3 linked regions of the Macaca fascicularis genome follow. The protein of the gene in region 2 interacts with the protein of the main gene of each other region in a pairwise test. Links are inferred from orthologs where the notes say so. Each region holds a gene or a part of one and is shown on either strand. Other genes may lie near its edges.

Evidence for each region.
Region 1: the proteins of WWP2 (region 2) and ARRDC3 interact in binary tests that used the Homo sapiens proteins (3 or more experiments, as listed by UniProt). The link is inferred for Macaca fascicularis from reciprocal best matches to the Homo sapiens genes WWP2 and ARRDC3.
Region 3: the proteins of WWP2 (region 2) and HNRNPUL1 interact in binary tests that used the Homo sapiens proteins (3 or more experiments, as listed by UniProt). The link is inferred for Macaca fascicularis from reciprocal best matches to the Homo sapiens genes WWP2 and HNRNPUL1.

The regions. Positions count from the first base shown.
Region 1 is NC_088380.1:95,368,792-95,372,467, reverse strand, and holds part of ARRDC3 (arrestin domain-containing protein 3), read left to right. Parts: intron 1-61; coding exon 62-209; intron 210-1,219; coding exon 1,220-1,322; intron 1,323-2,058; coding exon 2,059-2,315; intron 2,316-2,954; coding exon 2,955-3,117; intron 3,118-3,358; exon of another isoform or gene 3,359-3,396; coding exon 3,397-3,551; intron 3,552-3,676. UniProt on the Homo sapiens protein: Adapter protein that plays a role in regulating cell-surface expression of adrenergic receptors and probably also other G protein-coupled receptors.
Region 2 is NC_088394.1:66,047,151-66,050,826, forward strand, and holds part of WWP2 (NEDD4-like E3 ubiquitin-protein ligase WWP2), read left to right. Parts: intron 1-947; coding exon 948-1,107; intron 1,108-2,798; coding exon 2,799-2,932; intron 2,933-3,257; coding exon 3,258-3,398; intron 3,399-3,676. UniProt on the Homo sapiens protein: E3 ubiquitin-protein ligase which accepts ubiquitin from an E2 ubiquitin-conjugating enzyme in the form of a thioester and then directly transfers the ubiquitin to targeted substrates.
Region 3 is NC_088393.1:48,413,617-48,417,292, forward strand, and holds part of HNRNPUL1 (heterogeneous nuclear ribonucleoprotein U-like protein 1), read left to right. Parts: intron 1-1,034; coding exon 1,035-1,108; intron 1,109-2,853; coding exon 2,854-2,993; intron 2,994-3,676.

The sequences.
Region 1 (3,676 bases), on a different chromosome or scaffold from region 2:
TACTGTGTAATTGTTAGAAAGAGGTATAAAATTAATATATTGACCTTTATATTCTGCACAGACCACTTGCTACCTCATTCGAAGGCCGACATGGCAGTGTGCGCTATTGGGTGAAAGCCGAATTGCACAGGCCTTGGCTACTACCAGTAAAATTAAAGAAGGAATTTACAGTCTTTGAGCATATAGATATCAACACTCCTTCATTACTGGTAAGAATTGACTGAATTATTCATTCTTTGTTTTTGGCATATAAATATTAAAGAATAATCAATCACCTAAACTATGCAGTTGTCATAATTTAAAAATACTGGTTTTCTTTTAAAATTCCATAAATATACATTTTCTTAAATACAGTCAAGAACACTGAAATTAATGAAAAATATGCTCACATTTTTGACATTGTAGTACCTTTAAGTAAATATGAAACTAAGACCAGTATATGATATGAAGTATCTCTTACTCACAATATGAGTAACAAAAGCCATAACAACAAACAGATCTGGTCCTTGGATGATTTGAGTGGAAGAAGGACAGTAGTATCTTTTATTGTAATACAATATCACTTAACTTGACAACATCATAATCTAAAATTTGTACTATACTTTGTTATTCCAATAGAGGGATAGTTGTCAAATAATGGGGAATCATTCGTTTCATTAAAAAAACTCCTTTTTTAAAAGAATCTATTTTTAATTGCATTTGTCTGAGAATAAATCAAATTTGACTTAAAACTGTATTTGGTTTAAACAAATGATAACATCTTTAAAGCAAATAAGAAATGGGCATTTTCCTTTTTTTACATTTTTTTTTATATTCTCAGAGGAAGATGTTAACATTTGGAATTATAGTCAGATTGCTTTCTGTGCTGCCTTTTTAAGGCAGTTTAAATGGAATGTGGAAAGGGTTTTTTTTATTTGGTTGGTTTTTCATTACTGTATTTGTAAATAGTGTGAACTAAAAAACTGTTTATGGGAAACGCTGTACACCCTTTACCTTTTTTTTCTAATTGAATGGAAATTTATATAAAAATAAAAGTAATGGTATAATTCAAAACCATCAATTAGTTAAAAAATAAGAAGTATATCTGGATCCAAAAAAAAAAGCAAAACCAGTTTTAATTTTTATTTTTCCACAAATTTAGGATTATATTTTAAAATATTCTGGTATTGATTGTACCAATCCATACACTGACCTTTTTCTCTAAATTGTTTTCTTACAGTCACCCCAAGCAGGCACAAAAGAAAAGACACTCTGTTGCTGGTTCTGTACCTCAGGCCCAATATCCTTAAGTGCCAAAATTGAAAGGAAGGGCTATACCCCAGGTATGTATGAGGTAGATTCCCACAAAAAACTTTCTTCACTTAGCTTTTGTGTATAAATTTATAATATAACTATTAAATATCAACATAATATCGTATTCTTTTGTGAAATTACAAATTGTGCTTTTCCATTTGTTTTTTCACAAAATAGAATGTAGTTTCCTTTTTCAAATAGCTACTGATGAGTTCATTTCTATGACTCTTAAGTTATTTGCAGTTCCTAGGACACCTTTTCGTGCATGTTAGTTGCTCTTTCTTACTTTAGCTTTAAGAATCTTGATTTCTTGGCCAGGCGCAGTGGCTCAAGCCTGTAATCCCAGCACTTTGGGAGGCCGAAACGGGCGGATCACGAGGTCAGGAGATCGAGACCATCCTGGCTAACCTGGTGAAACCCCGTCTCTACTGAAAAATACCAAAAAAAAAAAAAAAAAAAAAAAAAAACACTAGCCGGGCGAGGTGGCGGGCGCCTGTAGTCCCAGCTACTCGGGAGGCTGAGGCAGGAGAATGGCGTAAACCCGGGAGGCGGAGCTTGCAGTGAGCTGAGATCTGGCCACTGCACTCCAGCCTGGGCGACAGAGCGAGACTCTCTCAAAAAAAAAAAAGATTCTTGATTTCTTTTGTTATTTTTTTCTAACCGGGCGACAGAGCGAGACTCTCTCAAAAAAAAAAAAAAAAGATTCTTGATTTCTTTTGTTATTTTTTTCTAACAGTAGATATGTATATATTTTTCCCTCTCTAGGTGAATCAATTCAGATATTTGCTGAGATTGAGAACTGCTCTTCCCGAATGGTGGTGCCAAAGGCAGCCATTTACCAAACACAGGCCTTCTATGCCAAAGGGAAAATGAAGGAAGTAAAACAGCTTGTGGCTAACTTGCGTGGGGAATCCTTATCATCTGGAAAGACAGAGACGTGGAATGGCAAGTTGCTGAAAATTCCACCAGTTTCTCCCTCTATCCTCGACTGTAGTATAATCCGTGTGGAATATTCACTAATGGTATGTACACATTTAAGAGGTTTTTTCCTTTCTTTTTTCTTTTTTGAAACACCTGTCACCCAGGCTGGAGTGCCACGGCACAGTCTCAGCTCTGCTGCAGCCTCTGCTTTCTGGGCTCCAGTGGTCCTCCCACCTGAGCCTCCCAAGTAGCTGGGAATACAAGTGTGCCTGTAGCCAGGCCTGGATAATTTTTGTATTTTTTGTCGTGATGGAGTTTCACCATGTCACCCAGGTTGGTCTTGAACTCCTGGGCTCAAGTGATCCACCCACCATGGCCTCCCAAAGTGTTGGAATTAGAGGCTGAGCCATAGTGCCTGGCCCAAGAAGTCTTTGGTGTTTTGTTTTGTTTTGTTTTTAATCTTAAAGTTATGGAGACATAATTTTGTCTTACATCCAGGTTTTTTAATTCCATATATAGTGACATATGAAATACATAACTCTTTATATAGTTTGACTTATAATTATACCTTATATGTAAATGTACTATATAGAATTATACATAAAAGAGAAACTTTTCATGTATGTAAGATAAAAAATGAAGTAAATGGGGGTTTCAAATAACATTAAAATTGGTTATTAGTTTTTGAAAAGGAAATCATACTTGGCATTCTAAACGTAATATTTCTTTGCAATGTTTAGGTATATGTGGATATTCCTGGAGCTATGGATTTATTTCTTAATTTGCCACTTGTCATCGGTACCATTCCTCTACATCCATTTGGTAGCAGAACCTCAAGTGTAAGCAGTCAGTGTAGCATGAATATGAACTGGCTCAGTTTATCACTTCCTGAAAGACCTGAAGGTAATTTGATAATACATATCTAAGCTTAATTTCTTACTATTATTATCAAGAAAATTATTTTGCTTCTGATATTTTATGACCCTAGATGAATGTAATCTTCCCCTAAAGAAAGTAGATGTGCCCCTAATACTCAGTTTTGATTATATGTCTTCATAGTTTTAATCACCAAACAAATAATTATTATTTTACCTTGACATTGCTTTTTAATACCTACTATTTTGTGTATTTTGACATGCATAAGAACATGCTGTTCGAATTGCGTGTATCTTTTTCCTTCAGCACCACCCAGCTATGCAGAAGTGGTAACAGAGGAACAAAGGCGGAACAATCTTGCACCAGTGAATGCTTGTGATGACTTTGAGAGAGCGCTTCAAGGACCACTGTTTGCATATATCCAGGAGTTTCGGTTCTTGCCTCCGCCTCTTTATTCAGAAGTAAGTACCTACTCTTAAGTGTGCAATGAACTGGCTGTCTTGAGAAATAGCATTGCAGGCATTTTTTTTTAAATGTAATTAGATCTTGATTATCATGATAATAACAGAACAAATAATTTAAAACG
Region 2 (3,676 bases):
ACTGTTCCTTTTTTCCGTGGTGACCTCCTCTCCAGGCTCTGCTTGGTGGGCTTCCCTGGTGTGGCCGCGCCCTGTGTGTGTCTCTCTCTGTGTCCTGCCAGTGGTTTTACCCTATGGTAGGTTACGTCATGCTGTTCTACCACAGGGTAGAACCACGGACAGGATACCGGGGCACCCTCTGCGTCGAAGGACTCCTCGTCTGCCCAGCCACAAACAGCCCAGCAGCCGGGGACTGGCCTCCTTGGGACGTCCCCTTGCTGGTTTAGCTCAAGCCCAAAAGGACTCTGAATTCATGCCTGAGGCTCGCACCCAGGGCACGGGTGTTGATTCAGATGAATGCTTGGAAGTGTGGGAATGGGGATGGTGTTGGGGTCTGGGGTGAAGGGAGGGCAAAGCGCAAGGGTGTGGCGTAGCTGGTGGGTGTGAGGTTTCTAATCTGAAGGCAGCATGGATTACGTTTTCATGGATTGGGGTTGGGAATGTGGTGCTCTGTATTTACATTATGTTGCCCACCAGGTAGAGCGGAAACAGGGTAGTTGCTATTCAAACAGAACCTTTGCAGAAAAATTATTGTCATAAACACGCATCGTGCCCTTGTGTAGTGCACAGCCTATGCAACTGAGCATGGTGACAAGGACCCCCTTTACCATTAGAAGCTCTGGATATTGTGATGTAAAGTCTCGGAACACATCATCTGGGAGCCGACGGGGACACGTTTCCCCAAACATCATCCTCAAATGCAGTTGCCATTCTGTGTAGAACAGAGCCCACCCTGTTCACTGACCAGCTGTTCATATAGGTTAGCGCGGGTGCTTGTCACGGGGCTTGACTCCCTGGGACACGTGTCCCCAGACTACCTGAAACACAACGGTGGAGAGTCACAGCTCCTGTGCAGATGTGCACCAAGGAACCCATTATTCTTGTCTTTTCTTTCTCTTCCCTCACAGAGAGTGGTTTTTCCTCCTGTCTCACGAGGTGCTCAACCCTATGTATTGTTTATTTGAATACGCGGGAAAGAACAATTACTGCCTGCAGATCAACCCTGCCTCCTCCATCAACCCAGACCACCTCACCTACTTCCGCTTTATAGGCAGATTCATCGCCATGGTAAGGGGGCCCCAGGGGTCTGCCTGGTTCCCTCCTCTCCCTCCTCTTCCCTCTCCTGGTGAAGTGTGCCAGGGGCACCAGGGGAATCTGCTCTTTCTCTGAGACCTCCAGGAAGGGGCAGCATTGGAGGAGGCCCTGGGCCTGTTCACCAGGAGGCAGCGTGGCGTGAACAGCAGCCCCCGTGGACTGGCGCGCCCTCTCTGGGCCCCACCCTTCGCCCCCATAGAGCTCGTAACCTAAAAATGTAAAAAGCTGGAGAGAGTTCTGGAGAAACCAGAGCTTTCTCAGTGGCTGTCCCGCAGGTAGTGAAGAGTTTCCACGCTGCTTGTATAGGACTTGTCGAGAGGAAGCCCAGGGTCTCTGGGCCACAGACTTTACTGAACATTAAATATGCGCTCTGTTGAGGGCCTTGGGATGACAGGGCCAGGTGAAAACATAGCTGCCCACCTGCTGCCTGTCTCTGGGAGGTGACACTGTCACGGCATTTGGGAACGTCCCACTGAGACACTAAGCCTTCTGGAAGGACATTTGGAGTCAACACTAGCTTAGAACAAAACCCTAAAGTCTGTGGCCCAGAGACCCTGGGCTTCCTCTCGACAAGTCCTATACAAGCAGCGTGGAAACTCTTCACTACCTACAGGACAGCCGCTGAGAAAGCTCTGGCTTCTCCAGAACTCTCTCCAGCTTTTTGCATTTTTAGGTTACGAGCTCTACGGGGGCGAAGGGTGGGGCCCAGAGAGGGCGCGCCAGTCCACGGGGGCTGCTGTTCACGCCACGCTGCCTCCTGGTGAACCGTAAACTGGCTGGTGCAGGGTGTAGGGACGTATGTCAGAAAGTGGGCCAGTTCTGGGGAGGGGCTTTCCCAGCATCTGTATTTAACTGGAAAGAAGGACACGGTGTGAATAGGGAAAGGGAGGTCCTGCCACGTGCCCCCTGTTGAGGGTCTTGGGAGTGTGGAGAACCCGATTGAGAAGCGGGGACCAGCACGGGAGCCACATTCATAGCTTGAGAAGTTTCAGTTCTCACTTTCCTTCGCTTCTTCCCCTGCCTTCCTGAGCTCCCCTCTTAGGAGGACCCAAGTGTCCCAGGAGCCTGTGACTAAATATGGCCCTTCCCATCGTCGGGGAGCTCTTGGCCAAGGTGCTGGGCTCTGGAAGTGGGCACATTCTTCCCAGGTCTAGAGACCCGCCTGGCCCAGCAGCCAACAGGACAGACCGGTAAAACCCTAGACTATTACTCACCATTGGCCGCCAGCTCTCGCTGTCAGCGGTGTCTGCATTATTTTTGGCTGCCTTTGCCACCCACCCTGAGCGCCAGTGAGTCAGGGCTGCCACCTGGAGCTGCTCTGAGCAAGCCTTTTCTGTGAGCGTGGGACAGACCTTTGCTAGGCTGGGAGCCAGCCGGCCAGTGTGAGGGGCAGATGCGGGCCCGGACGTGGGTTCCCGCGCCAGCTGTCTCTGCCCAGTCCCTGCGGTCTGCAGGGCAGGGTGGGAGTCCCTCTGTAGGTGCAAGTCAGGACAAAGGCGTTGTTTGCTCCCGAGGCCCTCCCGCTGCGTCCGAGGCAGCCGCTGCTGCGGTTCTGTCAGGGAAGGCGGGTGGTGGTAGCGGAGTTTGATACCGAGTATCCGAGAGCCAGTCTTGGCAGTGCCTGGGGAAGGCCCAAGCTCTGTGCTGTGCCTCTTCCTTCCCAGGCGCTGTACCACGGAAAGTTCATCGACACGGGCTTCACCCTCCCTTTCTATAAGCGGATGCTCAACAAGAGACCAACCCTGAAAGACCTGGAGTCCGTCGACCCTGAGTTCTACAACTCCATTGTCTGGATCAAGTGAGCTCCCTCCCCCCTCACCCCACCGCACTGATAGGAGGGACGTCTCTGGGCAGGGAGCAGGTACCGACGGCTTTTATTTTGTCTGCCAGTGTGGCCCCTGAGCTCTTGTCCAGCCTTTAAAAGAGCTAGTGGAGAGGAATGTCCTCTGGGTCCCCCGTGGACAGTTCTAGAATCCCCTCCTTGAGTCAGGAAGCTGTCCCATGTCACTGTTCAGGATTCTAGGCCACCCGTGAACCCTTGGTGTCCCATGGGCAGCAGAGCAGGATCCAGGAAAGACCCTGCCACGATAGACATCTCCCGACTTGGTCTGCTGTGCCCCCAGAGAGAACAACCTGGAAGAATGTGGCCTGGAGCTGTACTTCATCCAGGACATGGAGATCCTGGGCAAGGTGACCACCCACGAACTGAAGGAGGGTGGCGAGAGCATCCGGGTCACGGAGGAGAACAAGGAAGAGTACATCATGTGAGTCTCAGGCGCCGGGGCCTCCGCTCCAGGGGCGGTGCGGAGATCTAGTTGGTTGCAGAGCAAGATGGGCCCCCACCTTGTGGCCCATCGGTCACTGTGGATGCCATCTCCATCTGCCTCGAAGGTGGCTGCTGATGGGCCGTCATGTGATGGCGCGAGCTGGGGGACCAGAGCCGAGGTCCTTAGTTACTGACTCCCGGCTGCACTTTTTCCCCACGTGGGAGACTTCAAGCCTCCAGGGTGGAATTTCTTTGAAGTCGCGTCAAGCTTAGACG
Region 3 (3,676 bases), on a different chromosome or scaffold from region 2:
CAGGCTATGACTTAAGTTAGGACATGGAGCCCACCTCATATGGTGTTCTTCCACTGCTTGCCACAGAGCAGAGGCCTAGAAGCTACTTGCTGATGGAGAGCAGAGGAAGAACACTCGCTCTGATCCTGGGCTGGCAGGGAAAGTTTCGTAGAATGGACTTAACATGTGATGAGCACAGACTCATAAGATGAGTCTCATGAGTCTCCTTCATGAGTGGGACACTGGGCAAGTCATTCTGCTTCTCTGAGCTGCTCTTCAGGAAAGAGACTCATCTGTGTTAGCCCTGGCCTGGCGAGGCCAGAGGGGCCCTCCACCAGAGGGAAGGCTGCTGCTGGGAGAGTCAGCAGCCAAATGGGCATGGGCTCCCCATCTGTGCATGCAGTGCACTGTGACCACCCAGACTGTCCAGGCAGGACCCTGAGTGTTAGTTAGACTCTACCTTTCTACCCTTCTTCCTCATTCCTGTACAGCAGAAACCAACAGTGTTAAGTCCCTTTTTTAGTGTTTTGGTAGGAAAATGAATATCATTTATAATTTAGGACACTGAAAAAAATGGGTCATCTCAAATTCTCTCAGATGTAGGATTTTAAGAAGCCTGGTACATGGATAGATAGTAATTATTGGGATTTATCTAGGCTCTTGCACATGCCCCTTCCTGGACAGCACCCTTTTGAGATACCACAGCCTCCAAACAGTAACGGAGATCAGTGTGGAAGTGGTTGTCAACATGCAGAGGGTATGGATTAGAATCTTAGGGTGTAAAAAAAGAGCAAAAAAGTTCCCTAAATGATTCTGATGCCCCCTTCAGCAGAGCATGCCCTCTCCAATCCCTGTCTCCACCCTAGGAGTTGATGGTCATTGCTCTCATTGCAAGGATGTATGGTTCCAGAGTTCTTTTGCCCACTTCTGTGGGAAGAAATGGAGATTCAGGAAGCAGTCTGGAGGCCACTTGTAGATTATAGCAGAACATTCATTTTCTTTCCTTTGTGCTCATGTATTGTTCTTGTGTGACTTAACCCCCGTTTCTAACACAGGGGCCGCTCTCCTCAGCCTCCTGCTGAAGAGGATGAAGATGACTTTGATGATACCCTTGTTGCTATTGACACCTGTAAGTCTTTGGAGTGCCCATCTAATTCTGCCTTTTAGTCAGTATGGGGAAATTGTGTCTTGACCTTCACCAGAATCCCTGCCTGGCACCGTCCAAAGACATTGTTAGTCCACATGTGACACACAGCTTAGCTCTGGAGCAAGAGTCCTGGTTTGGAGGCAGAAGACCTACTCCCAACTCTAGCAGTGGGACCCTGGGCAAGTCATTCTACTTCTCTGAGCTTCCCTTCAGTTAATTCTGCCGTAATAACCTCAGAGGACTTTCAGGGAGACTCCTCAGTGGATACAGGAGCAATTTGGAAAACCCTGAACTGCCCTGTACACACAGAGGTTGTCATCTAATCAGGAAGGGAATCTGAGTGCTGCTGGGGAAACTTAACTCTTTTGACAACTAGTTCCCGTTTCCATCAGCTGCTCACGTTCTTGGTGAAACCAATGTCACTGTGTCCTCTGAGGCACAAACCTGGCCCACCCTGCTGTCTGTCCTCCACTTCAGCTTTCTTTCCACTGGATAAGTGGCTTTCACCTTTGCTGCGCATCTGAGCATTTGGAGGATTTCTTATAAAGGTCCTTTTCCTCAGACCTCCTAGTCAGAGTCTAATGAAGAGCCTGTGAATCTGAATTTTTATATGCACCCAGAAGCCCAGTCAGGTCTGAGAACACTGCACTTCTCAACAGAGCAGAAGATAAGCAGCAATTTATTCATCTATTTCTACAGAAGCTTATGTTTATAAAGCACTGGCTACATGCTTCTGTAAGAGATAAAGATATATACGGTCTCTAATATCGCAAGCTCTCAAAGACAAAATCTACCCAGAGTAGAGGTAAACATTGTTTAAAAAGTGTTGGGGGGCAGTGGTTCATGAGGCAGTGTCTGATGAAATGGAAATGTACCGACCACAGTGGTCAGCCTTCAGAGAAAGGAGAGTGCCTCATGGGAGGGATGGTCAGGAAAGGCTTTCTTGGAGGCATGACTGGTTGCTTGAATATTGAGAAGGGTAAGAGCAACAGTAGGAAAATCCTAGGCCTATGAGAGGAATTAGGAGCCTATGGGGCACCTGGGCATTGGTTCCTGGGTGGCAGGTGTGGATCAGGGTCAGATCCCTGTATAGCTGTTGGAAACAGAAGTCTGGTTCCCAACTTGATAGAATTAGCACAGAGGGCGGAATATATGGTGGTGGTGATCAACCTTTTTGTATTCTAAAATCTAGTTTGAGTCTGGGCAACATGGCAAAACCCTGTCTACGAAGAATATAAAAATCACCCGGGCATGGTGGCATATCCCTGTAGTCCCAGCTACTCAGGAGGCTGCAGTGGGAGGATGGCTTAAGCCCCCAAGATGTGTTCACTTGTGTACTCCTGGTCAGCACTTGGGGAACTTCCCTCTGCCTGTTTCTTAGGACTTTTGAAACATCAACCAGGTCGGGCATGGTGGCTCACGCCTGTAATCCCAGCATTTTGGGAGGCTGAGGCGGGCAGATCATCTGAGGTCAGGAGTTCGAGACCAGCCTGGCCAACATGGAGAAACCCTGTCTTTACTAAAAAATACAAAATTAGTCAGGTGTGGTGGTACATGCCTGTAATCCCAGCTACTCAGGAGGCTGAGGCAAGAGAATCGCTTGAACCTGGGAGGCAGAGGTTGGGGTGAGCCAAGATCACATCATTGCACTCCAGCCTGGGCAAAAAGAGCGAAACTCCGTCTCAACAAAACAAAAACATGAACCAACTGGGCTTTTTCCTTCACAGATAACTGCGACCTCCACTTCAAAGTGGCCCGAGATCGGAGTAGTGGCTATCCGCTCACAATTGAGGGCTTTGCCTACCTGTGGTCAGGAGCCCGTGCCAGCTATGGGGTCAGAAGGGGCCGTGTGTGCTTCGAGATGAAGGTGAGTAGGAACAAGAGAAGGGGAAGGTCAGAGAGGTCCGTCCATTGTAATATCCTGACACCAGCCACCTTGGTCAGAGCTACAACTGGAAAAGAGACTGGATCGTGCAATACTGTGTCCAAGCAGACAAAACTGTGATGAACTCAAGAGAACTACATCATTGCTAAATATCATATCAGAAAAGCAGGCCAACCATACATTGCTTCATCAAGCAGATATTTCCTTGGTGAGAGTTGACCCAGGTATTGTATAGTCAACCAGTGTAGTGATGACATGTTTGTAGAACTGAGAAAATACGTTGTTTGGAAGAAAAGTGATCTAGAAAGAATAGACTCAGGTGTCACTTAGTAAAGGGAGGCCAGAGGGAAAACAGGGCAAAGAACTGCCAGCTTAGGCCAGCATCTGCTGTGATCTCTGCACCGTTCCATGTCAAGTTATGTTTATGAAAATAATACATGCTCATGTTTAACAAAAGTTTAGACAGCACAGAAGAGTACAGGATAAAACAGGTTATTCTCGCCGGGTGCGGTGGCTTACGCCTGTAATCCCAGCGCTTTGGGAGGCTGAGGCAGGTGAATCACGAGGTCAGGAGTTCAATACCAACCTGGCCAAGATGGTGAAACCCCGTCTCTACTAAAAATACAAAAAATTAGCCGGGCGTGGTGGTGGGCACCTGCAATCCT